Linked DNA regions of Alligator mississippiensis. The protein of the gene in region 1 interacts with the protein of each later gene in a pairwise test. Links are inferred from orthologs where the notes say so. Each region holds a gene or a part of one and is shown in the gene's direction. Other genes may lie near its edges.

Region 1 (6,879 bases):
AACAACAGTGAATTAATATGGCAAAACAAAATATTTTGAAGGGGACAGGGTGGAGGATGCAGCCCTCCTGAAATTAAAGCCCCTCCTCCACTCATTCCATAGCTGGAGCAAGCTAAGTGCAAGGCAGAAAAAGCTATCTTTTCACCTCTAAACAAAAGTACTCAAAGAAATAAGCTCTGAATGGTGTTTACCACACACTAATCTTACTAAGCTGCTGTGATACTCATCAATAATCACATTAACCTGATCAAGCAAGCAAGCGGGGCAAAAAAAAAAATAAAATCTACATTTGATCATGCATACATTGCTGCTAATATAAAAAAAATAGAAAGTCAAAGACTGCAATTACCTGGTTCTAATACAGTATTTGTCAACCCATGGGTCAGGACCCAAAAGTGGGTCGCAAGAAAATTTCAAAGGGTCACAAGCTGTGGCAGGGCAAAGGGGCAACAGGAAGGTGCCTACCCCTTCCAATGGGGGAAGGGGGTCGGGGAGAGCTGCACGGCTAAGCCGGAAGCAGCAGAGCTGGTGCCTATACTCACAGGGGCAGGGCAGCTGGAAGACACAGGGGTGGGGGAAGGAAGTGGCCATGATCAGACTGCCTGGTGTGGTGCAGCAGTCCCAGTCTAGGGCAGGTGGTACCGTCAGTCCATGCCAGGGCCGGACTCACTCTGCTGCTACCCGCATGAGCCAGGGTTGCCACAGACACCATGCTCTGGCCCGAGGGGGACTGGGGGGCAGCCAGGGTCCCTCCAGCAGGGCTGTGGGGGCAGGGGCTGTGGGTCAGGAGTGAGGGACACCAGCATGGCTGGGGGGGGGGAAGATGGGGGACGATGGGGACAGACGGGACAGGAAAATGGGGGTCAGGCACCAGCAGGGCCAGGAGGTATGGGTTGGGACAGGCTACAGATCTTGGCAAATGGGCCCTGGTAGAAAAAAGGTTGAGAACCACTGCTCTAAGAGACTGCTGATCTGCTCTTTCATCTTCAAGGTGTCTAACGATAAACAGCCTTCTCTTAAAAATGTTATAACGAAACAGGTAGCTCCTAGGGAACAAATTAGTGCACTCGTTATAAAAGATGGGACCAAACTCCCAGGGTTTGTGCATCATTCTTTTAAGCATATGATTACAAGTAATGGCTGACAAAAAGGAACTACAAATTCTTATCTATGCAGTCTAGCATACTCATCTACAGTTTTGTTTACAAAATAGCTATAATTTACTGTAGTTTAATTCATCTGCATTTTTGGTATAGAAGTACTATTTTTGCTAGAAGTTACCCAAACTCAGGCAGAAGACAGTTCCAGGGTCCCTACTCAGCAAAGAACTTAAGCATGCAGGTAGCTTTCAATAGGCTGCAAAGAGACTTAAGGATTTGCTTAACAGTAAGTAAATACCATGACCATGGAACATGGTTTTCCTACTGGTAGGGGAAAACCATGAATGTGGTGGGGGGGTAGTACCCTGACCGAGGTAATCCATAATTATTCTCCAACTTTCACTTCCAGTGGCAGGATCTTGGCTATACGCTGACTTTATAGAAATGGGAGACTCCTCCCTAGCTTGCTCCTGCAGCCGTACAGTTGAGGGCAAGCGAAACTCTGGGGCATCTGAACCCCAAGCCTCCAGGCTTGGACCTGCACATGGGATGCCTGCCAAAGAATATGGAGGCGTCTGAAGCCCCAGACAGGGGTGGAGGATACTAGCCGGCAGCAGGGCCACATATACATGGATTTGGAACTGATTTGGCCGATTTGACTTGGGACACGAAAAATTTTCCTTAAAAAAAAAAAATTAAACAGTGCTTAACAATAAGCACAAGCTAAGATTCTAGTGCTGATCATGGCCTACACACATATGTAAAGAAGTATAATGCAAAATACCAGAAGAAATACAAAGGTCCTGTTATGTTATTTTAAAATATCCATAGAGAGGACTCATTCCTGCTTTAAATATGCAGTTCTCATCAGCTACCAGAAGAGGTTAGCAAAATGAGATTTAGGTGTTGTTTTTTTTTTATTTATGAAAATTTGGCCTTTAAATTATTTTTATTCTTTAGAGCCCCAAGGAAATAAAAAAATGGCAACAGAAGCACAGGCTTGAGCCTTAAGTAGAAGAGAAGGTAACATCCGAAGCATTTTGGCAGTCTAATCACAGAGATCACATGAGCTGCCACTAGTAAGCCACCTGGTCATGACAAATACAGAAATTTCTAGCTGATGCCGGACATTTTAGGAGCAGAAGGAAGTATCATCCAAGGAAAACTATACAACATTTTAGTTGGTTTTCGGTGGAAGGGTTTGTGTTGAAAGCAAAAGCAAGAATCTTTCAAATACTTAATGTGCCTTACCTTTCAGGTAAGCCTGCATGTAAGTGCTTGTGGAGCTGGGGATTAGTACGTTTTTTTCCCCCCAGAAGTAGAAAAACATGGGAACCACCACACCGTACTTGGCTCCACATGGCCTACCTGTCTCTAAGGCAATGACCAGCTACAAATACTTTGGAGGAAGGTGCACAAACACAACACTACTAAGATGGGGAATAAGTGGCTTCCCACTGAGGTCTCAACCTGGTCTCTAATAGTTATGTTACAGTAGCTCCTAGGAGACCTCGGCAGGGACTCAATCCAATCGGGGAAGGTATTGTGCAAAACAAAACTAAGAAAGTCACCGCTCCAAAATGCTTAGTGTAAGTCTTGCAGTACAAATAATGAATTGTAACAAGTCTTGACAATCCAGTCCGTTTGTAAATCTTGTTCTTCTCTCCATCTTACCCAACAGCTTCCTTGTAACAAATGCCACAATTTAAATAACGTGCGAAACACCTCTTCATACCAGTTTTAAATCTCCCTCTTCAATTTCAGCGCATTTCCCTTTATTTTCGAGTCCAGACAGGGAGAAAGAAGCACAGGCTGCCCTTGTCTCAACCATTAATTATATTCTATACAGGCCGTCCTCGGACTTACAGCACCACTCAATCCTGAAAACCGTGTCTTAAGGTGAAACATTGTAATTCGCAATGCAGTTTCCCATAGGAAACAATGTTATAATTGGGGGATTGGTTTCTGAACCGATACCATCTTCCCACCAAAAATAACTCAGAAATTGTACTCAATCAATTACACATAAGTAATATAGCAACAGTGAAAGGCAATCAAGACTCGTAGTAGAGATGATCTCTTTTATTAGACCAACAAGGTTTTTTGCAAAAAAAGGAAAAGAATTTTTTTGCAAAAATCTTATTGGCCAAATAAACGAGATCACCTCGACTACGAGGCGTGATCGCCTTTTCCTCTAGACCAATACGGCTACAACCTGGATACACAGCTGCATTCGTATCATACATAGCAATCGTAAGGATTTGGAAGGACTTCTTTGAGGCGACTCGGCCGGACCTTTCCAGTCTCCTCACGAGTCTTGGCCGCAGGTTTCCTGGAGTCTCGCCTGCCTTCTTCAAAGCGCCCGAGGACGTTCGGACAGATGCTCTCCAGGCAGACGGGCGACGCCGGCGCGCCGGATCCAGCGTCGCCGAGTCGAAACCGACATCGCCAAGTCGAAACGGGGGGTGCTGGTTGATAACCGTCATCCGCACCCTTCGTCGCCACGTCCGCCTGCCTCCGAGTCCAGTCCGTCTTATTCGTCTCCCATTCCCGGGACACCAGCCTGACCTTTCCCTACCCATAGGCCACTAACGCCTGACGGGCCCCCCCCTGCAGCCCGGGGGGGCACCGCAACCGCAACCTGCCCGCTGTCTGCACTGAAACCAGCGCTGTGGGGGGCAGGAGGAATTTTTATACGCCTGGTTTGACTGGGAATTTTTTTTTGCGGGGGGGGGGGGGAAGAGCCTGCCTTCCTGTGCAGCAACTGGCCTCTCTCTACTCCTACCTCGGCTCCTCCGCTCCCGCAATGGCAGCGCCTGCACCGGCCCGAGCGGGCCCCGCGGCGCCGCCGCCTCCTCCGAGCCGCGGGGCTGCGTGACTGCGCGCGCAGCGCCGGAAGCCGGAAGCCAACTCCTTCGGAGCGGCGGATGAGGGGCTGTGCAGAAAGCTCGCAAGCCGGAAGACGGTTCCTTCCGGGGCGGGGCCACAACAGGAAGTCAGAGGACAGGAAGCCGGAAGCTGGATTCCTTTCGGGTGGGGTTATCGGCGGCGGGTGAGGGTGAGGGGTTTAAGGTCTCCTACTAGACCGGGGTTGAGGCCTTCCCGGTCGGGGCCAGCCCTGGTTTTCCCCCAGGACCTTGGAGGGCCCCCCAGCTGCTGAGCTGCCTCCCCCACCCTCTGGCTGCTCTCTGGTTTCCTCACGGCCCAAAGAAACCCAGCGCCATCAAAGAGGCATTTCCTGGGCATCCTCTGCCGAGCTACCCAGTGCCCCGCTGCAGGGTGGTCCTGAAACGCCCCCCCGTCCCGCCGCTGACCCTTGGGGTCGCGCTAGAAAATCTGTGCAGATATTTGTCATTTAAAAAAAAAAAATCTGGGTCTTCAGGGATATTAAATTCTCGTTGGCAGCCCAACCGCGACCTTCCCGGCATGGACCGCGGCTCTGATAATTTTTTTAGTTGGCCCTTGCAAAATATCGTTCCGCAGCAGATGTCGGTGTCGCTGTCCTGGGCTTGTTTTCGGACTCATTGGTTTTCTCCTTCCTGATTTTTTTTTAAGCAGCGTCACGAAGGAGAGCCGCGGGATGCGACAGCCGGTCCCTGAGCGCCGCGACACGGGAGCTGCTTGTTATGGCTGAGGTAGAGCAATGAAGCTAAGCGGTGTGTTGCGTGTACAGCGTAGTTTCTTATAGTTTTGTCGTTTCTAGGGTCGGACGGGACCTGAACAGATCATCAAGCCCGACCCCCTACCCCGGGCAGGAACGAGTGCCGGGATCGTAGTACCTCAGCCAGATATCTGTCCAAACTCCTCTTGAAAACCCCCAAGCAGATTAAGTGAAGGTTACCTACCGGATGCTTTGTATTAAAAAACATTTCTAATGTTGGTGGCCCACTGTTCGATGTGCAATAATTATTTTGCAAACAAATGAACACCAACAAAAAAAAAGAGATCTTCAAAGAAGCAAGACTCCGCCACGCACACCAGATCATGGTCCCCTACTAGTTGTTCTGCCTTCCCCCAAAAAAGGGTATTCATAGATTTCATTGATTTGAGAGTCAGAAGGGACCTATTAGATCATCGAGTCTGACCCGAATTGAATTACCAACTGCTATGTTTGTAATATAAAAAGGCTAACCATTCTCCAACATAAATTTCCTCTTTATCCACTATGCTCATTCAAATCCTTGATGGGGATCGTAGGCAGACAAGGTTCCTTGGGTGAATTTGATATCTTTTATTAGACCAACCCAAATGGTTGGAGAATAGTTATTAAGTAAGCTTTTGGGTTCAAAACCCCTTCATCAGGCTAAGGAAGCTTCAGCAGTTGGTGTGTGCTCTGATGGGAATCGTGACTTTCAAAAGCATTTCGAGTGTCTAATGACTTTACTTCTGAAAGATCAGACCCTGTATCACTATGTGTAACTGCAAGAAATAAGTACAGGTCAGTCGCATCTTACGCAGGGGTTACGTTAAAGTCGGTGCGTAAGGCGAAAATCGTGTATAGTGAAATCGCATATTACCATGCCAGCAGTGACTGCCTCTGCCTCCAAAACCTCCCGCCGCCGCTGCGGAGCCGTGCTTAGAGCTGTGTGGCTGGCGGCGGCAGTGCAGGGTGGGGATGGCTGCGTGCCGCCCGGGCACCACCATGCTGCTGCTCCCACCCGGCGGCCAGCCACAGCTCCGGGCACACATGCAAACTCGAGCCCTGCCCCCCCTCCCACCCCACGTATAGTTGAATTCGCGCAAGTTAAATGTGTGTATGATGCGACTGACCTGTATGGTGTTTTGATGCATTAGAATTGAATGTAGGTAAATGTTGATCGTAGGAAAGAAGAGGGAAAAAAATAGTACATTGATAGAAATACTCTTCCCCTCTTGCTTTTGTTATGAGGTTACTCATATTTTCAATATTTATTGTTAAATTTAAAGTGCCAGACTTAAACCTATTTTGAATGATAGTTCTGGAAAAATATTCAGAAATAGGGGCAAAAGTTCGGCTCTAAATCCATAGTTAGGTATCTAATAGGATGGCCTGATATTTCTACAGTGTTGAGCAACCATCAATACCCACTCCCACCATCTTAGTTTTGGCCCTTTTATCAAGCGTTCTCTGCAGATTAAATTGTATCAATTTAAAAATTCTAGTGCAGCTCAGTGTAAGGTGGTGTCTATAAACAGTGGGATTTATCATGCAGTTCACATCAGGTGTTTTGGTCTGAATTTTTATGTGATTGGAAATAGAGACGGTTTCCTTTTTGTCTGACTTGATACCTGCAAGGGACCTGATTTTTTAGAGAGGGGGTGCATAGGCTTTTCTGAAAGTCAGGCCTCTTCTAAGGTGTTTCAAGTCAAGCGCCGAGAAATTGAGCGCCACCAGATCATTAAACCTAGAAAATGTAGGACTTGGCTTTGGAAAGGATGAAGAATTTGACTAGTTGACAGACATCATCTCTGTGAAAGAGAACAAGTAGCTTTTATATTTTTCATATCCAAAAGAAGCTGAAACTGCTATTTTTTAATTGAGCTGTCAGTGATTCATTGATAGGACCAATTTTCCTTTTGTTCTCAGATCCCAACAAGTTGTGCTTTATCAAGTAATACTCCAGCAGGCCACAAGCTTGTGACTTCCCATCCAGCACAGAAGACTGTTGAATTAGGAAGCTGGAATATGACAGGGTGCCAGGTAGGGGTGTCTTTAGAAGTTAGATCATGTCAGTTTTGAAAAGCTTTTTGTTTGTTTGTTGTGGCACCTTGGCATGCCTTGAGATCCTTTCAAGAGTGC
Region 2 (7,709 bases), on another chromosome or scaffold:
CGTGCGGCCCCCACCCCGCCGGGCGAGCTGTGCGTGCCCACCGCAGGAGGCAGCACCAGAGCCATGCCCCGCACACCGCTCCCTCCTCGCTCCCACGCAGGCTTCCCCCGCCAGAGACCCCTGCCCGGGGCAGACTGGACCCGTGCACCCCCACTCCCAAGCCACCTGGTCCCCCAGGGCAGACAGCCCCTGCCAGGGCCCTGGGCGACACGGCACAGGCCCCGCTCACCCCATGCCCATCAGGCCACAAGTCAATAGCACACACGGCGGGGGCGCAGAACGGGTGACCCAGGTGCCCGCCCCTGGCCTCGGCAGACACGCCTGGCCTTGCCGTCAGGGACAGCAGCTCCCGCAGGGGCCCCGGGGCCGGGCAGAGGCAGCAGAGCGCCCAGGCTGTGAGGGGAGAAGGCAGGGCCCCCGGCGGGCTGGGAGGAGACTCACCGGCCCCAGGTTGAGGAATCCATGCTTCCTGGCCAGCCTGTCAGCCTCTCGCGGCCCTGCCGGCACCCGCACTGCCCAGGTGTTGGTGTAGACGCGCTGCACGAGCACCTCCTGGGCCAGCAGCACCAGGGCCGTCACCAGTGTCCAGAGCAGGAGCAGCACGCGGGGCCACAGATCCATGAGCGCGCCGGGGTGGCCGAGCGCCGGGAGCAGGGGGTCCAGCGACGGCGCTTCTGCTCACAGCCGCTGCATGCCCAGGTGCCTGCTCTGCCTGGCCGGCCTCCCCGCGGTCCGAGGGATCATGGGGCTCACGTCCGGGCGGCAGCCGGGCCCAGCGGCAAAGACGGCAGCAGCCGGATGGCAGGGACAGACCTTGGCACCACGACCTGGGGGCAGGAGGAGTAGTGGTTAGACACGCCCGGGAGCACGTGGGCTGCCTCTCCCCGCTCCCTGCCGCGTGGTGGACCAATGGCGCTGCCAGGAGCATGCAGGCGCAGGTCAGCCCAAGCCAGGCCCGTGGGGGTCTCCGCAGGCAGAGGGAGCGCTCGATCTGCGCCACCTCCGCGCCCCCCGCGCAGCAGGGCCCCCGGCAGCCTCCTCTGCAGGCGCTGACCCAGGCAGCTGCTGCCGGGCTTGGGAGCGCGAGGTGGAGGCGGTGGCTGGCGAGAGGCCCGGGTGCTGGAGCACAGCGCGCTGTTTACCCTGCCTGTTGGCCAATGTGTGCTGACACGCGCGTGTACAAACAGAGCAGGGATGTGGCCGGAGCCGGGAAGTCACCTGGGCCAGCCCCGCGGCTGGGGAGCAGGGACCGACACGTCGCAACCCCCGCAGCAATGGGAGCGCAGCCCCGCGGCCCCAGGGCAAGGGCGACCGGTGCGGGTGCATCTGCGTGCCCCCCAGCCCAGCACACACCACCCCACAGCACCCCCGGCCCCGGCCCCGCCCGCGGAGGGGGGCAGCGCAGCAGCTCAGGCTGGCTCCGGCTCGGGCCTCCAGACAGCCGCTGGTGGAAGCCGTGGCACTCGCAGACCCTCCGGGGGCTTGCAGGCCTCCCGCCCGGCTCTGGGCACGGCGCTCCGGCTACCCCGGGGAGGCCGGGCCGCAGAGCCCTGGTGCGGCCGCACGGGGGTCTCCAGCCCCGCGCCCGCGCCGAGCACCCGGCAAGAGGACGTGCGGCCCGGCCCCGGCCCCCCCCGCCCGGCCGGCCGGCCGGCCGAGACGGCGCCGCGGTGACACCCGGTGACTCACCGCCCGCCCGCCCGCCCGCCTCCCCCTCGTCCCGGGCGCGGCGCGGCGCGGCGCGCCTGGCCGGCCGGGGCCCCGGGCAGCGCCGGTCCGCAGGGCCCTCGCCCCCTCCGCGGGCGCGGCGGCAGAGCGGGCCGGGCGGACCCGGGCACGGGCCCGACACACGCTGTCACCGCCCGCCCGCAGCTCCCCGGCCCAGCCTGTCCCGGGGCCCGCGCACCAGCACGGCCGCCTCCCGCCGCCTCGCCTCGGCCCGGCCCGGCCCCGGCGCTCACCTCCGCTCCGCTCCCCGGCCCGGCTCGGTGCCCGTGCGCGGCCGCGGCCCCTTTATGCTGGGCGGCACCGCCCCGCCCGGCCCGGCCCAGCGCGGGGGACGGGGACGGGGCCGGGCACGACCCGGCTGTCAGCACCGCCCCGCCCGGCCCGGCCCGGCCCGGCCTGCCCCGGCGCCGCCGGATGCCGCCTCCTGCCCGGCCCGGGCGCTCCTCCCGCGGGGCGGCGCCGGCGGCGGGGAGGAGCCGCGGGCCCGGCCAGGCCAAGGGCAGCGGCGGGAGCCGAGCCGAGCCGGGCCCCGGGCACACGTGGCGCTGCCCGCTGCCCGCCGCGCGCCCAGGGCCGCCACCAGGCCGCCTTGTCCCGCTCGGCCCGGCCGAGCGGGGAAGGGCAAGGGCCCGGCCCGGCCCCCGCCAGGCTGAACCGGGGTCGCTACCGGGGGCCCCGCTGCAGCCGACGGGCCGTGGCCGCCGCTCGCGGAGCGGCAATGCCCAGCGCCCCGGCCTCCCGCCCAGCAGGGCAGAGGCGCGGGCACCTGCTGCGGGGCGCACCCGAGGGACCTGCCCGCCACTCCTGGGCCGGTGGCACCCGAAGGCCCGATTCCCACCTTGGCTCGGGCCGCAGCCACCCGGCCTGCCCGGAGCAGAGCGCAGCGCCGCCCGGGGCTGCCCCTCTTGGGCCCGGGCAAAGGCCGAGGCTCCCAGGGCAGGAGCCAGCTGGAGCACAGCCCCCGCCTGCTGCCAGGCTCTGCCGGGACGGGACAGCACAGCACAGCACAGGACGTGCTGGTGCCCGGTTTCCAAGCGGGTCTAATCGTTTCACCTGCGGGGTCACGTGGCGCAGGTCTCTCCTTGCAGCCGCGCCGCCACCTTCCCACAGCGGGACGAACTGGGGCACCCGCGCCGGACCCGTACCTCGATGGGTGGGAGCAACAGGGGCTGCGAGCGCCAGGACCAGGTGCCCCCGAGCAGCGCTCCTCTGCAGCCAGAGATTGGGAAACAGCTAGCTGATGGCATCCCCGCGTGCCCGCACCCCCACGCGCTCGGTGCTGGCACCAGCCGGCACACACAGGAGCTCGCAGCACTCGATCCTGGCGGGCACTGCCGGGGGAGCCCACAGCAGCCTTGGCCGTGGCCCCGCAGCTAAGCCAGCTCACGCCCTGCTCAGGCTGCGACCTGCAGGACCGGCTCTGCCCAGGCCCTGCAGGCAGGAGCGCGTCTTGCTCCTGAAGCAGCGCAGCACGGCTGCGTTGTGCAACGCGCAGGTTTGCTCGGAGCCGCGCCAGGAGCGCAGCAGGGCGCGCCCAGCCGCCACGGCCAATTAGCGCGGGAGCGGCAGCGGGCTCCGCGCTCCCTCCCTTCCCGGGGGCCTGCTCCACAGCGGGGTTTCTTGTGGCCGAGCCGGGCCACGCCAGACCCTGCCACCAGCGACTTGCCCTCGAGGCCTCCGTGAGCCAAGCCCCTGCCCCCGGGGAGCTTTGCCTCGCGGGTACGTGGACCCCACGGCAGGCCATACGCCCAGGCGCTGCCCGCCTGCCAGGCTCCCCTCCAGGTGGCCCTGGCCCTGGCCCTGGCACCAGGGCCCTGCTCCCCCCGTGCCGAGGGCAGCCCCCGGCACCGCTCTCCCGCCCCAGCAGGGACGCGCTCACAAAGGACGAGCCGCAAGTGCCGGCAGCTGCCTGTGAAACAGGATCTCCCCGGGCAGGCATGCAGGGCCCTGGCCGCGCGCCAGGCTGCGACGGCGCCGCGCACCTGCCCCTGCCCCAGCCCCAGCCCCGCAGCTGCTCCGCGTGCCGGGCCCAGGCCCCGGGCTCGCAGGGGCCACGCGAGCCTCGGCGTCGGCTCCTGCACGTCCGCCATCGCCGGCTCGCTCGCCCGCCCCTGCTGCGCCCGGCGCCCGCTCTGCCCGGGAACCCCGAGCGACAAGGCCGCTCACGCCGGGGCCAAGGCGGCGCTGGCAGCGCCAGGCAGGCCCAACGCTGCGGGCTTCCCCAGCAGTGCCGGGGCCCAGCAGCCCGTGCTTGCTCCACAGTGCCGACCAGGCCCGGTGCTGCGAGCGTCCCCAGCAGTGCCCTGTCCACACTGAGGACAGGCCCACGCGCGCTCTAGCAGGGACTTGGCGCGCGTTTCTGCCGCCGGCTGCCGTGACACGGCGGGGCCCTTCCAGCGTCCTGCGGGCGCGGGGCAGGACCGCCACCCCTGCCCTGCCGGGAAGCAGAGGCCTCTTCCTCTCTTCCAAGAAGGGCAGGAGCGGGACGGGGCTCGCGGCCCATGACGCAGCCCCGGCCCGTGCCCCGGTGCCAGGCTCCTCCCCCGCACTGTCGGGAAGCGCCCGGCCTGGTTTCCTGCCTTGCGCGCAACCGGCTGCGGTTGACACCTGGTGCCTTGCACAGAAACCTCCTCGCCTGCCCGAAACTGGGTCACCCGCTGCGGGCCGGGGGCGGCCAGAGGCTACGCCCGCCTGGCCCAGGGCACGGGGCAGGGCACGGGCAGGGCCGCTCGCGGGGCGGGGCGGGGCGGGAGAAGCCGCCCACCTGCCTTGGCACAAGCACCACCCCAGCCCCGGGACCGACCCCACCAGGCCACTCTCTCCCACTTCCGCAAACTCTATCCCCTCCTTTGACCAGAGCCCCCACTTCCGGTCAGGTGGGAGGGGACCGCTGCCCTCTTCCGGTTCCGGGGTGAGGGTTCAAGTGCCGTCGGAGTTGACTTCCGCCTTGGCTTCTCCGCTGTCCCCAGCTTCCGGTTCCGGCGGACGGGAGCGGGTCTCGGTCTCGGTCTCGCTGTCGGTGGGTCCCGGCCGGGCCCGGAGCAGCCGCCGCCGCCATGTCGGTCCCCAGCGCCCTGATGAAGCAGCCGCCGATCCAGTCCACGGCGGGCGCCGTGCCCGTCCGCAACGAGAAGGGTGAGGGGGGGGCGGTATCGCGGGCCGGGCCGGGGGGCGGGGGTGAGAGGAGGGAGGCCGGGGCAGGCCCAGGCCCCGGGCCCGGCGCTCACCCGGCCCCTGCCCGCAGGCGAGATCTCGATGGAGAAGGTGAAGGTGAAGCGCTACGTGTCGGGCAAGCGGCCGGACTACGCGCCCATGGAGTCGTCGGACGAGGAGGACGAGGAGTTCCAGTTCATCAAGAAGGCGAAGGAGCAGGAGGTGGAGCCCGAGGAGCAGGAGGACGACTTCGCCAGCGACCCCCGGCTGCGGCGCCTGCAGAACCGCATCAGCGAGGACGTGGAGGAGCGGTGAGCCCTGCCCCGAGGTCCCCGGGAGCCGGGCCGAGCGTCTGGGGCAGCGAGTCGCCAGAAGCGCTCGGTAACAGTGCGGCCCCCCCATCGCCCCCAGCCCCCGGCCGTGCTTCTACGGCGAGAGAGCCGCCCGTCACGAGCGCGTTTCTATTTGACCGAAGTCCCAGGAGCGAGGTGCTGCGCGAGGCCACGGGCTGCCGCGGCGTTGCTCAGCAAGCGAGGAGCAGGCTCCCCGCGGAGGCTGTGCTCGTGGCACAGGGGAGGGGCGGCCTCCTCCCGGGCAGGCCGGCGGCTCGGTGCTCAACGGGGTTCACAAAAAATGGGTTCCTGCTGCCTTGCGAGGGAGTGCCCAAGCTGTCGAGGGGTCGGCTGCGGCTTGTGCTTCAGCACAGGCTGCGTTGCCTGATGGCACTCAGGGCTGTCACGCTTCATAGACTCGTAAAACTCGGGTCGGAAGGGACCTTGTAGATCTTCAGGTCCGACCCCTGCCTGGGCAGGAGGGAAGCTGGGCTCAAGTGACCCCAGCCAGGTGGACATCAAGCTGCTTCTTAAAGCCCCCCAGGGTAGGAGCCAGCACCACTTCCCTTGGAAGTCGGTTCCAGATCCTAGCCGCCCTGACTGTGAAGTAGTTCCTACGGACGTCTAATCTAAACCTACTCTCCAACAACTCGTGGCCGTTATTCCTTGTTATCCCGGGGGGCGCTAGGGGAAACAAGGTCTCCCCCAAACCCTTCTGGTCCCCCCTAGTGAGTTTATAGACAGTCACCAGGTCCCCCCTCAGCCTTCTCTTGCAGAGGCTGAACAGGTTCAGGTCCCGTCGCCTCTCCTCGTAGGGTCTGCCCTGCTGCCCCCTGATCATGCTGGTGGCCTCCTCTGGACCCTCTCCATGCTGGCCACATCCCTTCTGATGTGCGGCACCCAGAACTGGACACAGTACTCCAACTGCGGCCTGATCAGTGTCACGTAGATGAGGAGGATCACCTCCTTGGACCTGCTTGAGATGCACCTGTGGATGCATGTTAGCGCTGCTGACCGTGACCTTGCATTGTCGGCCCATGTTCATCTTGGAGTCAACGATGACTCCAAGATCCCTTTCTGCCTCTGTGCTCTCAAGAAGGGAGTTTCCCATCTTATAAGTGTGCTGCCGGTTACTACTGCCCAAGTGCAGCACCCTGCACTTGTCTGTATTGAAACACGTGGTGTCTTAGTTGCGTAAGATTCGCATGCAGGTGCCTGATCTGTGGCACTAAGGAAGAGCGGGGCCCAGATCCATCCTCCTGGTAACCGGTGGAGTCACAACAGTAGATTAGGAAGGTTGGGGTGAGGCTTGGGGCAGGTTTGTGGGGCGTTGGTACAAGGTGACTGAGGTGCTGGGTCTGGGGCCTGTCCACAGGCTGGCGCGGCACCGCAAGATTGTGGAGCCAGAAGTGGTCGGAGAAAGCGACTCGGAGGTGGAGGGAGAGGCGTGGCGCATAGAGCGGGAGGACAGCAGCGAGGAGGAGGAGGAGGAGATCGACGATGAGGTACGTGCAGGGGCGCAGCAGCTGGTTGCAAGTGTGCTGCCGGAGGTACTGGTGCCTCCGGGCCTCCCAGCCGGGTGGGACAGAGGCTGCTGCTGGCAGAACTGGACAAGGCCGCGGAGGCTGGGTGTCACTGTGTAGGCGGCTCGGACTGACCTTTTGGGCGACAGGCTCCTTCCAGTCCTCACTGCAGCTGGGAGGGGGCAGCAGGACAGAAGCTTTTGTTAGTCCAACACATGCCACAAACTTTGTCTGTGATGTGACAGAGCTGGAAGGGACTTGACCACTGGTCCCTGCTTGGGGTGGGGAAGCTCTGGAGGCAGAAGAACAGAGGAGGTGGAAGGGTGGTGGCCCTGACACCTTGGTCTGGGGTGGGCTCTGTCAGGAGATTGAGCGTCGCCGCGGGATGATGCGCCAGCGAGCCCAGGAGAGGAAGAACGAGGAGATGGAGGTGATGGAGCTGGAGGATGAGGGCCGGTCTGGGGAGGAGTCGGAGTCGGAGTCTGAGTACGAGGAGTACACAGACAGCGAGGACGAGATGGAGCCGCGCCTCAAGCCCGTCTTTATCCGCAAGTATGTGCCACAGCTGCCTGCCCGGGGAGGCTCTGGCAGCTTGTGGAGGGCAGAACGCCAGCCTGGGCCACTGTTCAACCTCTGCGTGAGGAAGCAGTGGCTCTTCCTACCACAGAGCAGTGGCAACAGGTGCCTGAGCTGGAGAACCAACTAATGGCCCCTTGGGTTCCAGCCCCAGGTTGGGTGCCAGGCCTGGCATGTTGCAGCTCTGGTCCCCAGGGGATGAGCATGGAGCAGTAAGGCTCCAGACAGCCTTGCCATGCTGCAGCCAGCTCATCAGCTACTATCACCCCCTTCCTCCCCTGCCCCCCCAATCCTGAACAGCCTGGGTGGGGAAGTAACAAAGCAGGTCTGCCTAGAGCCAACCCAGAGGGGTGACCTCACCGCCATGGTGCAGTAGGGGGGGATAAGAGGTGTGGAC
Region 3 (7,295 bases), about 100 Mb from region 1:
GCTGTGGCTTTAGATTAAAACAAAGTCTTGTGGGAAATAGATTCAGTGAGGGGGTTTTCTTTCCTTGAAATCTCAGCTCCAGGAATAACATAAATTAATGAGAATCTCTGCTTTCATGTAAGGAGAAAAAACTTGTAATGTTCGGAGTTGCAGAGAAGAGCTTGAATGCGTGAACCCGAATGACTCGGAAACCAGAAAGGAAAATAACAGGGGCCCCAAATTTATACTTCTTTAAGCAATTTCAGGATTTTCAGGACTGGAGTCCTGATTTTGCCCTTGGACAATGGGAAGCCCCTTGTTATCTTCCCAGCACAGGCCTTGAAATAGAAAAGGTTCTCTGGGTCTGTGGAGGGTGGTGAATGTAGGTAAGGTGCCCTCACCAACTCTGGAGACAGGAGGAGGGTGATCTGCCCCTTTAAAATTGCTTGACCCAGTAGTTTCTTTGATTCTGCTTTTCTCCTTCATTTCTTTCCCCTTTCCCACTATTTTCCCCCTCCCCTTTTTTTTTACTTTTTTTCCTTGGCTTATTACTTGTTTCTCCTGAGTCTTCCTGTATTTCTTCTTCTCCATCACCTCTCTTTCTCCCTTCATTATTATTTGTGTTGTGATAGTGCATATGAGCCTTAATGAAAAGCAAGGCCCTTGTGTTAGGCAAAGCTCAATCACTAAAGAAAGATGATTTCTGGCCTGAAGAGCTTGCAGCTCACATGTGAGGCAAGATTCTGCTCATGCTTTGCTGCACTATCTCCATAGTGCTATCTAGTCTTCCTAATCTCTCTCCCCTTGCCTGCTCCTACTTGTACCCTCCTCTCCTCGCTTCTGGTTTATCTTTTTAATCCCTTGCTTCCTCTTTGCAGTCTCTATCCTGCTTTTCTGTTTTTCCCTCTTTCCCCTTTCCTTTCTCTTCCACCCTCTCTCTACGTATGATATTTATTCACTGCCAGTCTACACTTAGAAATTGTTCCAGAGTAAGTTTAGGCTGTCAGTTTAAGTCATAAAATGTGTTCCAGGTATCTTTCCTATGTAGCAGAGAATCCTTGAGCTTTACACTCTTCTCTGTGTCTTTCATGCTTAAAGTGGGGCCTCGTGGTGCCCCCTCCTAACCCCACTTGCCTTAGCCCTCTTCTGTCCTTTCCTCTCTTCATGAAACAGAGGCTGGGTGCTTCTGAGCTATCTATTGTGCTGTGTGATTTTTTTTTTTTTTTTTTTTTTTCCTACTGCTCAACTTGCTGTACTTGTAACGTGGGATTTTTTATTTTTTTTTTTATTTTTTTTTTAGCACTTTCTTTTTGTATTACAGGACAGACAGCCTAGCTCAGGGTGTGGACCAAGGGCTACATAGGAAGTTTTGATGAGCTTTTGCAGGTCAGGTCAGCAACCTCTCTACCCCTGCAACAACTTACCAAAACTTCATATGGGGCTTTAGGCAGGTGGGGGGCAATGTTTGGGAGCAGGATGGGCAGGTGAGGCTGATCTGCTCCCTGCACACCCTCCCCAGGTGGGGTGGGCCATGTGTGCATGGGGATGTGTGTGGGTTGTGTGTGTGTGTGGGGGGGGGGGCATGTGTGCATGTGTGTAAAGTGGGGGCTGCCTGGGTGCTAGGTTCAGAGCCAATCAGAGCTGAGGACAGGGAGGGGGAAGGGGAGGAGAAGGGGGAAGGGTGCGGTACATGCATCAGAGCTTGACTGGGTGGTGAGGTCTGTAGCTGCCCCTGCAATGCTCCACATGCGGCCAAGCCCCACACAGGGCAACCAGAGCCAGCCCAGCCTTGGTCCCAGCCCTGGCCAGTGAACAGCTTCTGGTGGGGCTGTTCCTAGTGGGGCTGCAGCTGGCGGGGTGCTGCTCGGTTCCCCTTGTCTCCAGTGGGAGTTGTCCAGCTGAAGCTTCCCCCCATCTGCCCACCCAGAGTCTCACAGCAGGGGCAGGAGTGGGAGGAGGAGCAGCTGCTGGAGACAGGTGGAGCAAAGTAACCCCTGGCTGGCTGCAGCCACATTGGGAACTGCTCCACTAGAAGCTGCATGCACTGGCTAGGACATGGGCCAACAGAGCTATTCTACCCCTATTGCTCCACAATAGAGGCTTCTCCTTCTGGTCCTGTCCCTGCTGCACCACTCCTGGCGGGTGGGGGAAGCTTCAGCCAGGCAGCTTCTGCCTTAGCTCATGGGGCTCTGGCTCTAGCACCCAGCTGCCTTCCACCCACTCAGCTGCATAGGTTTCTGTACTTGCACATGGCTGCTTATGGTGCCAGGTGGGTGGAGTGAGTAGAAGGCAGCCCGGAGGTGGAGCTGGAGCTAGAGACCCACACACTGAAGCAGGAGTCATCCAGCTGAAGCTTTCCTCCCCAGCCACCTGGAATAGTTCAGCAGTGAATGGACCAGCAGGAGGAGCCTCCATTGGAGGCAATGGGAGCAGATCAGCTCTGCTGGCCCAGGCCTCTGCCAGTGCATGCAGCTTCCAGCAGGGCTGTTTCCAATGTGGCTGCAGCCAGCCAGGGGCTACCTTGGTCCCCTCGCCTCCAGCAACAGCTTCTCTTCCCATTCCTGCACCTGTTGCACCACTATGGGTTGAGGGGAAGCTTCAGCTAGGTAGCTCTTGCTGGAGGCGAGGGGAACATGGAAACAGCCCCGCTGAAAGCTGCACACGCTGGTTGGGGCTCAGGCCAGCAGGCACAGGCTGGAGTATGGTGTGTGCTGCCCTGGTGGGAGTGGGTGGGTCTAGGCCCCATGCAGAGCACCACGGGGGCAGCCACGGGCTGGATCCCATCAGTTGGCAGTCTAGATCTGGCCTGTGGGCTGTATTTTGCCTGCCCCTGGCCTAGCTAGTTTAAAGGCCCCTAATCTGTGGCTTGTGAATCGCCAGTCCTCTAGTGGCTCACAATGCAAAACAGCAGCCAGTAAATTCACTCTGAAGGAGATACATACTTGTTCAGTGAGCCCCCAAGTAGAGCTTCACAGACTACACGTGCTCCCTGCCTCCCCAGTTTGACCACCTCTGTTTGGCTGGTTTGGTCTTCTCTATTGCAAAGGTTTATAAGATGACTGTTATTATTTGCATGATTTTAATGTCCAGAAGTATGTTGCTGCATAAATACATAATGAGAAGCATCTCTCTGCCCCAAAGCCCTTACGATCTATATAGACAAAATGCATGATACATATTTGGCCCACCAAGGGATTCTTATCTGGCCCATGGCAGGTCCTTCGGCTCCACCTGGCCCAGGTACAGGGAGTAGCCTGAGCTGGTAACACATGAAGCTGGTCCTGCTGTCCCAGGTGCGCAGCGGGGCTGGAATGGCACAGCGTCCGGACTCAGTTCTTGGCAGCCCCTGCAGTGGCAGCTCCTTCCAGCTGCTGCTGCCAGTCTCTGCTGCTACCTCCAGGCACCTCTGCCTGTCCACCCCGCACCCACCGCTGGCAGCATCAGATGGAGTAGCTGGGCAGAGTCTCCATGGAGACTGGCCCAGGATGCCGTGGGTTGGGTGTACTTAGCCAGGTGGATGAGATGGGACCACAGACAGGTGGGGAGCAGCATCAGGGAGCGGAACGGGTGGACAGGGCAGAGCCACTTAAGAAGTTTTGGTGAGCTGTTGCAGGGCAAGGGGGGTGCTGACCTGGCCCACAACAGCTCACCAAACCCCCCTAAGTGGTCCTCCAGCCCAAATAAGTACCCCGCCCCCTGCACTAGTCCATCAGGCTTTTAAGGAACTTGTTTGGAAAATGGCTTCCGCTTCTTGGGAAGCAGACAAGTCAGTGTTTAAAAACGACACCACTCACTCGCTCCAACCCAGTGAAACTGTACCCAAGAAAATTCCAACCTCAGTCCTGAGCGATGACTAGATAATTCATCACGGCTTTATGTTGTGTAGTGTCTTTCACACTGACTGAGTCCTGCCTGCTTTGGATCGTTAAATAATGCATTTACAAAGATAATGAATGCAGAGGGAAAGAGAAATTAAGAACAAGGGCAAGGAAGAGAGTGGGTGTGTTTTCTGATAAGAACTGGAAGTAGATGGCAAGCTAATGAACAAAGGCAATACCAGGAAGGCTATTCTGAGCAGAGCCTGCTGCCGAGGAGAAGGTTCTCTTCTGGTTGGTGGAGATCTTGTGTGCATTTCTGCATATTTTATTGTGTCAACTAAAGACAGTCTTCACAGTCTGATCCTGGAAGAGCCAAAGGCCTGTGACCAGCCCAGGGTCTCAAAACAGGGGCAACACTGAGCTGTTTTTCTTATACTCTGTTAGCGTTCATGGTGAAAAGATTCACTGAGTGAGACGGAGTATGTTTGCCCTTTTAGGTTCGGTGGCTGCTTCTCCAAGTGGCGCCTTGGAGTTTCTAACTGGCACCATTACCTCCAACGAGTGGAGTTCTCCCACCTCCCCTGAGGGGAGCAACGACTCAGGGGGCAGTGAGGCCTTGGACAAGCCGATCGACAATGATGCTGAGGGTGTGTGGAGTCCGGACATTGAGCAGAGCTTCCAGGAAGCGCTAGCCATTTACCCGCCATGTGGGCGGCGGAAGATCATCCTGTCGGATGAGGGCAAGATGTACGGTAAGGAGAACAGCTGGGGGAGTTTTATCACCCTGGGGAGAAGGAAGATCTCTGTCAACCATCAGGTCTGCCATGTGTGCTGCTGTGAGAGAGATCCCAAATGATGCAGCAGCTCAGGTTAAATATGTTTGGCAAAGAAAAGCAAAGAGGAATAAGAAAAGTGGATCAAAGTGGCATTTAAAAGAAACTTTTTCAGAAAAGACTCCTCAAGTTTTTAACTAAAGTACGGCATGTTTATCATGTTTTTCATGTTTATCATGTTTTTGATAAAGGTTTTGGTGAAGTCTAATACAGTGGCTCAATGAATGCACTCATGCTATCTTTGAAATGTAGCTCATGCTGTCATTGTTAGGTTCTCCCTAACTTTAAGTGGTGGAAGTCTGTGGTTTTGGTGCTGAAGATCCTAGGTTCAAACCTTCAATGATGGTCTCCGATCGTGGTAGCTATGTTAGTGCCCATGTCACATAGTCCTTGAAAGGGGAACTTTTTTTAGCATAAATTGAGTATGAATTCCCCTCTCTCCACTTCCCCATGATGGTCTTTTGCCTCCTGTCTGCCTGAGTATATGCATTTTTTCATCTTTAATTTGCTTTCTGCCAGGACATAAAGAAGATTAGACCTAAACTGTTCTCAGTGATGGCAGATGACAGAACAAGGAGCAATGGTCTCAAGTTACAGCAAGGAAAGTTTAGGTTGGATATTAGGAAAAACTTTCTCTCTAGGAGGGTGTTGAAGCACTGGAACAGGTTACCTAGAGTGGTAGTAGAATCTCTATCCTTGGAGGTTTTTAAGGCCCAGCTTGACGAAGTCCTGGCAGGAATGATCTAATTGGGGCTGGTCCTGCTTTGCACTGGGGGTTGGACTAGATGATCTCTTGAGGTCCCTTCCAACTCTAATTTTCTATGATGCTATGATTCTGAGATGAATCATAGCATGAAATCTCCTCAGGTCAAGAATAAAGAGAGGCCTTGTCCTTCAAGTGCAAAAGGGGTGATAGGAAAAGATGATTTAAGGTCATTTTAAAATTGTTCTTTACCCCTCTTTGCCAAAAACAGCTAGTGAAAACATTTGCTGTCCAGGGCCATGGAAACCCTGGACCATGGAAACCCAAAAAGGCAGTGTACACCTGGTGGAAGGGGGGGGGGGGGGGGGCTTATCTCCAAAGAAGAGTATACCTCCATTGCTTGGGCCTGTAGGGGGGCTGTTAGGAAAGCTAAGGCAGATATAGAGCTAGGACTAGCGTCCAAGATCAAAGATAATAAGAAGTCCTTTTTCAAATATATAGGGAGGATGAAGAAGGCACCAGGAAATGTGGGGCCCCTGCAAGATGTGCTGGGCAATCTGATAGTTGCACCAGAGGAGAAGGCAGACATCTTTAACAAATTCTTCACCTCCATTTTCTTGTGCAGGGACCGGGACTCCCCCACGGTGTTTCAAGACAGACTCGAGGGGAACGCCTCAAGACCTAAGGTTGAGGTGGACCGGGTTAGAGTGCTTCTGGAGGGGCTGGACGTGTTCAAGTCAGCAGGTCCAAATGCTCTCCACCCCAGGGTGTTGAGGGAACTAGCAGGGGTTATTGCTGGGCCCTTGGCACGGCTTTACGAGCACGCGTGGTGCTCAGGCCAGGTGCCAGATGATTGGAAAATAGCCAATGTGGTCCCCATCTTTAAGAAAGGGAGGACCCAGGCAACTATAGGCCCGTCAGTCTTACCTCAATCCTGGGGAAACTTTTTGAGAAGATCATCAAGGAGCACATCTGTGACGGGCCGGCATCGGGGATGATGCTCAAGGTCAACCAGCACGGTTTCATTAAGGGCAGATCATGTCAGACCAACCTGATTGTCTTTTACGATCAGGTCACAAAAGCATTGGATGCAGGTGTCGCCGTGGATGTAGTCTTTCTGGACTTCGGCAAGGCCTTTGACACTGTCTCCCACCCCATGCTCATTAAAAAACTAGGCGACTGTGGCATCGATGCCTGCACGGTCAGATGGATTGCTAATTGGCTGAAGGGTCATATTCAGAGGGTGGTGGTGGATGGGTCATATTCGACCTGGGAGAAAGTGGGCAGTGGAGTCCCCCAGGGCTCGGTCCTTGGGCCCACACTGTTCAATTTCTTTATCAGCGATTTGGACAACAGGGTGAAAAGTAACCTGTTCAAATTTGCTGATGATACCAAAATTTGGGGTGAGGTGGGCACGCTAGTATGGAGGGAAAGACTGCAGAAAGACCTGGATAGGTCGCAAGGGTGGGCTAACAAAAGCAGGATGCATTTCAATACAGAAAAGTGCAGAGTGCTGCACTTGGGCAGTAGTAACCGGCAACACACTTATAAGATGGGAAACTCCCTTCTTGAGAGCACGGAGGCAGAAAGGGATCTTGGAGTCATCACTGACTCCAAGATGAACATTGAGAGGGTCCAGAGGAGGGCCACCTGCATGATCCGGGGACAGCAGGGCAGACCCTACAATGAGAGGCTATGGGACCTGAACCTGTTCAGCCTTCACAAGAGAAGGCTGAGGGGGGACCTTGTGACTGTCTATAAACTCACTAGGGGGGACCAGAAGGGTTTGGGGGAGACCTTGTTTCCCCTAGCGCCCCCTGGGATAACAAGGAATAACGGCCACAAGTTGTTGGAGAGTAGGTTCAGATTAGACATCTGTAGGAACTACTTCACAGTTAGGGCGGCTAGGATCTGGAACCAACTTCCAAGGGAAGTGGTGCTGGCACCTACCCTGGGGGTCTT
Region 4 (7,024 bases), about 74 Mb from region 1:
GGAAGATGAAAAAAGTTGCAACTTAAAAACCTGCCACTTTTTTTCCCCCGTTGTTTCTGGCTGGCACACTAGTTTTCCAAGAGTCACTCACTGGATTTGTAACATTAGAATATAAAAAAAGTAAAGTTTGCCTTATTAAAAATATTCAGTTGTACTATGCTCCATTAGGCTAATTCTAAAGAACCTGAAAAAAAATACTGACTTAAGCCTATAATCCAAATAGGAAGTAAATGTAAAAGTATTTCAAAACAAAGGTTATTTTGGCTCCTTTCCCCGCCCTCTAAAACTCTACCCAAATTGTAACTTTGGGTAAGACTGTCAACAGTATCTGGAGACTAAAGTCCTCAACTCCCACCAGCTTGGAAGGAGACTTTCACTCCTACTGGGACTTGGCAGCTTAAGCGACTCAGGCTCCTAAGTTTTATTTTTGTGTACCCCTCCAACAAGAACTGCAGACACAGGCCTCTACAATACTGGGTTCATTACTGTACTGGAGGCCTGTGTTTGTACAACCTATTTTTGTGTGAAAGAATTACAGTTTTGTTACAGATGGGTAAAAATGAAAACCACACAAGCCTGGAGGAAAAATTTGATTCTTTTCACGCCTTGCACATGTTACTCTGCTTTTTTAATTTATTGTGAATACTCAACTTTAAAAAAGGGGGGCTTAATGCATCTGCGGCCTGGTTATCCATCCTCTAAGCCAATGTTTTTCAACCATGATCCAAAAGTCAGTGGCAAGACTATATGAAAAGGTTGCAAGCAAACTTTAAAAATGCAGTTCCAGCCTGCAAGAGGCTGCTTGGGGCCCCTCATGCTCCACACCCTCCCCTGCCCCACACACTGGGGGGTTGGAGCCTGGGGGTGGGAGGCAAGGGGTTAGGACTGAGGGACACTGGGTCGGGACTGGCCGTTGATGCTTACAAATGGGTCCTGGTACAAAAAAGGTTGAGAACCACTGCTCTAAGCTACCAGGGAAGCGATTCTCCTACTAGATAGTCCACAGAACATTTGCTGGTTGCCCACACTACTTTTCCTTCAAAGACAGAAAAGTGCTATATGGTCTTTCTATATTTGTTTCTGCACAATAAAGGCACATCCAGGACTTTCCCTAGTATTTACTGAGACAGTGCTGCAGATGTCAAAGGGGTCCTATTAGAAGCAAAGGGAAATAGCCACGTGCTTAGGACCAGGAAAAGCTTAGCCTGGAGGCAGACACATGGCCCACACCAGGCAGGCACTTGTGCAGCCTGGGGAATAGCCTCGCTCCTTCCTCCCAAGTGCCAAGAAAGAACCCGACTGTGGTCTCCCAGCAGTCAGCTCCAGTGCTGCCAGGTGTATAACTATCATATTTGTACAATAATTTCAACCCTTGTTCAGTGTATGATCAATAACAGTAAAAGTGTTCAAAATGTACAATCATTTTTCAGGCAGCTAATTCATGCAGCATATGCAAAAGACAAGTTACTCTCAAGAGAGCCTTAACTGACTTTTGGGTTTGCTGTCAGCACTTTCTTACGACTTTTTGCCTCAAAACAAAGATTTTTTATTATTATTATTATTACTGTGGCAGTGCACTGTGTGTGCCTGCCACTTTAAGGGCCTGGAGCTAGCAGCCTCCAGGTGCCTGATTAGGGCAGCCATTTTTAGACACAAGGGCTGCCTATATAAGCAGGGCAGTTTGACTGCTAGAGGCCAGGCAGTAACATTGCCTGGCTGTAGGGCTGCTGTGAATGAGCTGGAGGTAAGGGGGAGCTGCGAGGGGCTGGTTAGGAGGCTCCTGGTCCTGGGCATGACCTGAAGTTGCACCCTGCTGGGAGTGGGTGGTCTGGTGGGGCTCTGTGGTGCGGGAGCCCCCAGGAAATGCCAGGCCAGTTACCACCCTGGTGGAAGGTAGGTTGGGGTGCCTTAACCCCTTGCCCCCACCACTGAGTGGGTAACCCCATGTGTTGTTTGAGGGGCCTGGGGGGTGCCAGTGTTGTGAGGCCCAGAGGGCGGACCTTGAGAGAGAGAGGGGGACTAGAGACCCGGCCCAAATGAGATAGTACCCTTGACTGGCCCATGCTGGGGCCAGGACCAGGATGGTCAAAAGGGCCAGGGGCCCACTGCGAGGGATGCCCAAGAGCCAGGGGCCTGGGGTCCCAACTGGCCTGGAGGTGGGCCAGGGCCAGTTAGCTGAAGGTCCCAGGGGGACCACACCTGAGAGGGGAAAATGGCTTTGGGGGGGCTTCTAGCCCGGATGAAGGCGGAGAGGCTGCCTGATCAGGAGGGATCATAGAGGGGTCCTGTTTGGGTGATTCTGGGGCCCCAGCGTGGGGGCCGGAGGAGATGAACATCAAGATGCCATCAGCGAGGCTTGGGCTGCGGTATTGGGGAGGTAGGAGCCACAGAGAGTGCCCCCTGGCATTGGGGCACCAAATAGGCAGCTTCCTGCTTAACTGACATCTTAATTGAACCAATTATTATCAAAGGTGTGGCGGGAGAGATAAGCAGGCGGTTGCCCACAGAGACGGGGCAGGCTGTGGAGACTGGCCCCGAGGAGGCCCCCCTGTCACTACTGTTCCAGGTCAAATTAGCCAAATTGGTTTCAAATCCTATTGACCAAGCAGAACTCAATTGTTCAAGTCCATGTGGTGCTACCACTGGTAAGTATCCTCCATCCCAGCTCTTCAGATAACCCAGTGACAGGCACCCTATGTGTAGGCCCAAGCCCAGAGATCTTGGGGTTTAGACACCCCTGGGGTTTTTTTTGTTGTATTTTTAATTTTCTTTATTCCCAGTCAAATTGGCCAAATCAATTTCAAATCCATGAGTCAGTCCAAAACCATAAGTGGCCCTACCACTGGCAGCATCCCCCACCCCCACCGGGGGCTTCACATATACCCAAAACCCTTGGTGGGCATCCTACTTGCAGGCCCATGCCCGGAGGCTTGGGGCTCAGATGCCCCTGAGCTTTGCCTACCCCCCAACTGCAAGACCCCAGGAGCAAGCCAGGGAGGAGTCCCCCATTTCCATGAAGTGGGCATAAAGCCAAGGTTAATTATGCATGACCTATGCAGGTACTATCCCATGCCAGCAGAGTGGTTTTCCCCAGGAGTGACTAGGAAGCCACCATGTTGATCATGGAATTTTCCTAGATAAGCATAGGCTACACTTGATCTGAGCCTTCAAGAGGCTGAAAAGCAGTAAGAACAGGTCTCTGCTTGATCTGAGCCAAAATGCCAAGCCTCAAAATAAAGAAACACTTCAACTCTGATGACCCAGTTCTCACTCACTCACTGGTGAGTTACAACGAACAATATAAAGTCAATAATAAGGCTTATTTGCATGCTTTTGTAGATATATTCGCATATTTTTCAGCAAATACGATCGTTTTTGAGCTCCCGATACCATAATGTCATGTTTAGAGACCTGACAAGGCTGGGCAGCCCCTGCCCCACACCGCTCACCGCCCGGCGGGGAAGGCAGCAGCAGGGACCCTGCTGCTCTTCCAGCCAGGGACCCGCACCTACCCCGAGCAGCATGTGATCAGGAAGCAAGAGGGCGCGGCCCGCACTGCCCACAAAAATGCCGGGACAGCGCCTTCCGCTTCCCGTCTCCCGGGGAACCGCCCGCACTCACCCGCGGCTCTTCGAGGCCGCACGAGCCCCTCGGTGCAGGTTCCGGTGCCCTCCACGCACACAGGCCGCTGGCTGCTCTGGGAAGAGGGAATCGCCTGAGGAAACCGCTCACTGCCTCTAACTGAGGGAGGGCACCAGATGGGGGAGGGGGAACACTTCCGCCAGAATACAAGATGGCCGCCTAGAGCCAAGCTAAGCTTGCCCTCGCCCAGCACAGCTCCCAGACTCACGGGTCAACATCCTGCCCGAACCCAAGATGGCCGCCTACGCCTTCAGTAGGCCCCGTCAGTCGCCTCGTTCTCAGAACCACGGCCGCCTCCCGTCCCCTCGGAAACGGCAGTGCCCCGAACCAAGATGGCCGCTGCAGCGTCGTTGCCGTGGAGCCGGACACCTGTCCAAGCCCAAGATGGCGGCGCCCGCTGGCGTGAGGCTCAGTGCGCGTCACGTGACGGGGGTGTGACCCGTGCCCCGGCGGAAGCGTGAGGGACCCAGCGGGGAGCGGGGGTTGCTGGCGGCCGCGGAGCGCGGGCTGGCGCGCCACTGGCTGTCGGGGACAGAGAGCAGGAGACACGGCTGTCACCACGGAGCCCGCCGGCACCACCACGGCGGCCGCCGCCGCTTCTCGGGCCGGAGGCGCTGGAGACCAGGCGCCCTCGCTGGCTCCGCCCCCGCCGAGGATGCCGCGCAGGAAGGTGAGGGAGGCCGCGGGGGCGGGAGAGGTTCTCGGGGAGGGGGCAGGGACCTCGCGGGGGCTTGCTCCCGTTCCCGCCCCCAGCGAACTTTCCCCCAGAGGCACAAAAACCGGGGGAAAAGAGCGGCCTTCAGCCCCCTGCACCCGCCTCTCTTGCTCCCTGAATGGCTCCCGCTGGCGCTCGCTGGGTCCCGATTGGCTAACATTGCTGTCAGTCATCTCCCCCCAACGGTTACCTTTCTCCCTCCCCCCGGCGGAGGCTTGTTCCACCTCCTTGCGGTTCCGATTGGACAAGAGAACGAAGGACCTGCGTGTGTTTGGCTTCGCCTAATGGCCTAGCTGGGCGCTGATTGGCCGGCGCGGCTGCCACTCCCCGCCCCCACGAATACCTCCCGCGCGTGCCTTGTTTCTTGTGTTCCCTTCCCCCAGCCGCCCCGAATGGATGTTTCTGTGGGAAGCGAGGTTCTAGCTGATAGGCTGGGGCAGCCCGTCAGTCACGCCTTAGAGCCGCGCCTCGCCTCTATGGGAATTCTTATTGGAGGAGATTCCTCTCGGCCCCTCCCCTCTCTGATGGTGATTGGTTGATGTAGAGGGAGGGAGGCAGATCTACAGCCGCGGGCGCAAAACAAAGCGGCGAGGGCACCCGCCCTCCCAGCAGGGCGCCCCCTGTCGCCTGGGCTGCCGCAGCCTTCTCTCTCCCTCCCTGTCCCAGCCCAGCCAGGCTCCTCTGGCCTGCCTGGCCCCTGCCCCAGCGGGACAAGGGCAGCAGTGACTTGTTCCCAGCTCCTAGTCCTGGGCTTGTCCTGTCCTCTCTTTGCAGATCAGCATCTGCCTTGCCTTCACTGTGGTGCACCCACCTGCCTGTCTGTGCCAGGACAGAGCGGGGCTTTCCCAGGCCCAGGGGAGGTGCTACTCCCAGGCTGTCCCAGGTTTTCATTTCAAGTGAGGCAACTAGTGCCTTGACAGTTCACAAGACTTCCTTCCAATGACACTGGTGCAACCTGTTTGTATTGGACAAGTTTGCAGAAGTCTGGAGTTACTGGTGCCACTTCCCCTCAGCTTGTGTTTCTCATACTGAAGGGAGGCTTTTCTCCAAAACGATCTGCCTGCAAAAAGTTTGAATCTGTTCTATAACATTCAGGCCCCAAACGTTCTTGTGTTAGCAGGAGTAGTATTGAAGTCTTAACTGTTCTCTTGCTAATGTGGTGCTGCAGAGGAACGCTGGCAGTAGTTCAGATGGCACTGAAGACTCCGATTTCTCTACTGATCCTGAGCATACAGACAGCTCTGAAAGCGATGGCACATCTCGGCGATCTGCCCGTGTGACTCGTTCCTCAGCCAGGCTGAGTCAGAGCTCGCAAGGTAATGCCTTTCTTCTACATCCCCCAAATGACACTTGGCGAACTGTCTCTATGTTCTCAGCTTGATATGCTTAAATACATTTTAGGGAATCTGTTCCTTCAATTTGGCTAACCTTCATTTGCTGTTTGTTTTTTTTTTCTCGTTGAGTATAATAATACTAGGGTGAGGTACAAAGACATTGCAGTGAAGCATTATCTAAATTAGGCAGCATAATCTAGCATTTTAAACTGGGGTTGGAAGTCAGGATTCCTGTGTCCTGGTTTACGGTAGTTAAAGGGGGTGGGAACTGAACCATTGGTTCTATGCTTAGCTTTGCTACTCATTTTCTGAGACCTTTAGAAGGTCTTGTAGGCTTTCTTACTAGAGTTCCTTAGTGCATAATGAATACTATCTACATGATAGAGGCTTTGTGATGTTTAATTTTTGAAGTGTTTAGAGACTGTTGACAGTTGTTATGCAGAAGCGCAAAATATTTGCATGAAGCACGTGTGATAAATCTCTGAAGCCACCTTTTGGTTATTTTTATAAATAACTTGTTTATTTGAAAACCTAATTTTCGAAACCTCTGAGCAGCTAATCATGCTTTGGAGTCCATTTTCTGCTAAAACTTCACTGTAACTCCAGTCCTGAAAACTGTACCTTTAGGCCTTTTCTCTAAAAACGTAGCCTGGTAAAATCACTTGGCTCTTATAGACTGTGTTTGTCACTAAAGTCCCCAAATAACTAAACCAAAAGTAAAATGTGGATAGTTGAGGGCTTTTAGGCTGTACAAATATGAAATTTGGATGGTTGTGTTATGGGTATGAGATGTTTTCATATCGGTGGAGTTTGTTGTACAACAGTATGTATCCAGCATATTGTCATTCGAGTCCATGTTGCATGTTTTTACGTTTTGACATCCAGATTGTTAAAGAGGGGTTGTTGTGCTTTTCCACCTCCTCATTTTCTTGATCTGAGAAATTTTCTTGGCTGATAGTAATTACTGTAGAAATTAAATTCCATCTGTTTGTCTAAAAAGAGAAATGGCAACAAAGGGGTAAGATCTTCTGATTCCCTTGTTTTATCTGTAGGCTTTGCTAAGAGAATTTTTCAGACAGTTTTCTTCCAGGTAAGAAATTCTTGTAGTTCTTGACCAGAGTTTTTTAGAAAATAAAGTTATTTTTGATTAGCATCTGAGGCATCCCTGTTTTTCAGCAAAAGAGAAGCACTTTTTAAAATAATTTGTTATCAACTCCCAAGTGGTAACAGTTCAAGACTACATACAGGGTGTCAGATACTGACGTGCCAAAAGCAGCTGTAGTACACGCAAAGCCAGTCTAAACAGTATTGATTCTCATTCAGACCTGCTGAA

What was found.
Region 2: the proteins of CEP70 (region 1) and MFAP1 interact in binary tests that used the Homo sapiens proteins (3 or more experiments, as listed by UniProt). The two-hybrid records come from large-scale screens. The link is inferred for Alligator mississippiensis from reciprocal best matches to the Homo sapiens genes CEP70 and MFAP1.
Region 3: the proteins of CEP70 (region 1) and TEAD4 interact in a two-hybrid assay, tested with the Homo sapiens proteins (2 studies listed by BioGRID). The two-hybrid records come from large-scale screens. The link is inferred for Alligator mississippiensis from reciprocal best matches to the Homo sapiens genes CEP70 and TEAD4.
Region 4: the proteins of CEP70 (region 1) and KAT7 interact in a two-hybrid assay, tested with the Homo sapiens proteins (2 studies listed by BioGRID and IntAct). The two-hybrid records come from large-scale screens. The link is inferred for Alligator mississippiensis from reciprocal best matches to the Homo sapiens genes CEP70 and KAT7.

The regions. Positions count from the first base shown.
Region 1 is NC_081827.1:243,542,501-243,549,379, reverse strand, and holds the start of CEP70 (centrosomal protein of 70 kDa), read left to right. Parts: upstream 1-3,856; 5' UTR 3,857-4,027; coding exon 4,028-4,133; exon of another isoform or gene 4,134-4,158; intron 4,159-4,199; exon of another isoform or gene 4,200-4,655; coding exon 4,656-4,735; exon of another isoform or gene 4,736-4,756; intron 4,757-6,666; coding exon 6,667-6,780; intron 6,781-6,879. Other genes in the region: FAIM (fas apoptotic inhibitory molecule 1), read right to left, coding at 3,396-3,682.
Region 2 is NC_081834.1:741,815-749,523, reverse strand, and holds the start of MFAP1 (microfibrillar-associated protein 1), read left to right. Parts: upstream 1-4,669; 5' UTR 4,670-4,784; coding exon 4,785-4,863; intron 4,864-4,972; coding exon 4,973-5,192; intron 5,193-6,588; coding exon 6,589-6,718; intron 6,719-7,100; coding exon 7,101-7,288; intron 7,289-7,709. Other genes in the region: furin, read right to left, coding at 442-621. UniProt on the Homo sapiens protein: Involved in pre-mRNA splicing as a component of the spliceosome.
Region 3 is NC_081827.1:143,817,561-143,824,855, reverse strand, and holds the start of TEAD4 (transcriptional enhancer factor TEF-3), read left to right. Parts: upstream 1-4,278; coding exon 4,279-4,549; intron 4,550-7,295. UniProt on the Homo sapiens protein: Transcription factor which plays a key role in the Hippo signaling pathway, a pathway involved in organ size control and tumor suppression by restricting proliferation and promoting apoptosis.
Region 4 is NC_081827.1:169,198,502-169,205,525, forward strand, and holds the start of KAT7 (histone acetyltransferase KAT7), read left to right. Parts: upstream 1-4,013; 5' UTR 4,014-4,297; coding exon 4,298-4,312; intron 4,313-5,525; coding exon 5,526-5,673; intron 5,674-7,024. UniProt on the Homo sapiens protein: Catalytic subunit of histone acetyltransferase HBO1 complexes, which specifically mediate acetylation of histone H3 at 'Lys-14' (H3K14ac), thereby regulating various processes, such as gene transcription, protein ubiquitination, immune regulation, stem cell pluripotent and self-renewal maintenance and embryonic development.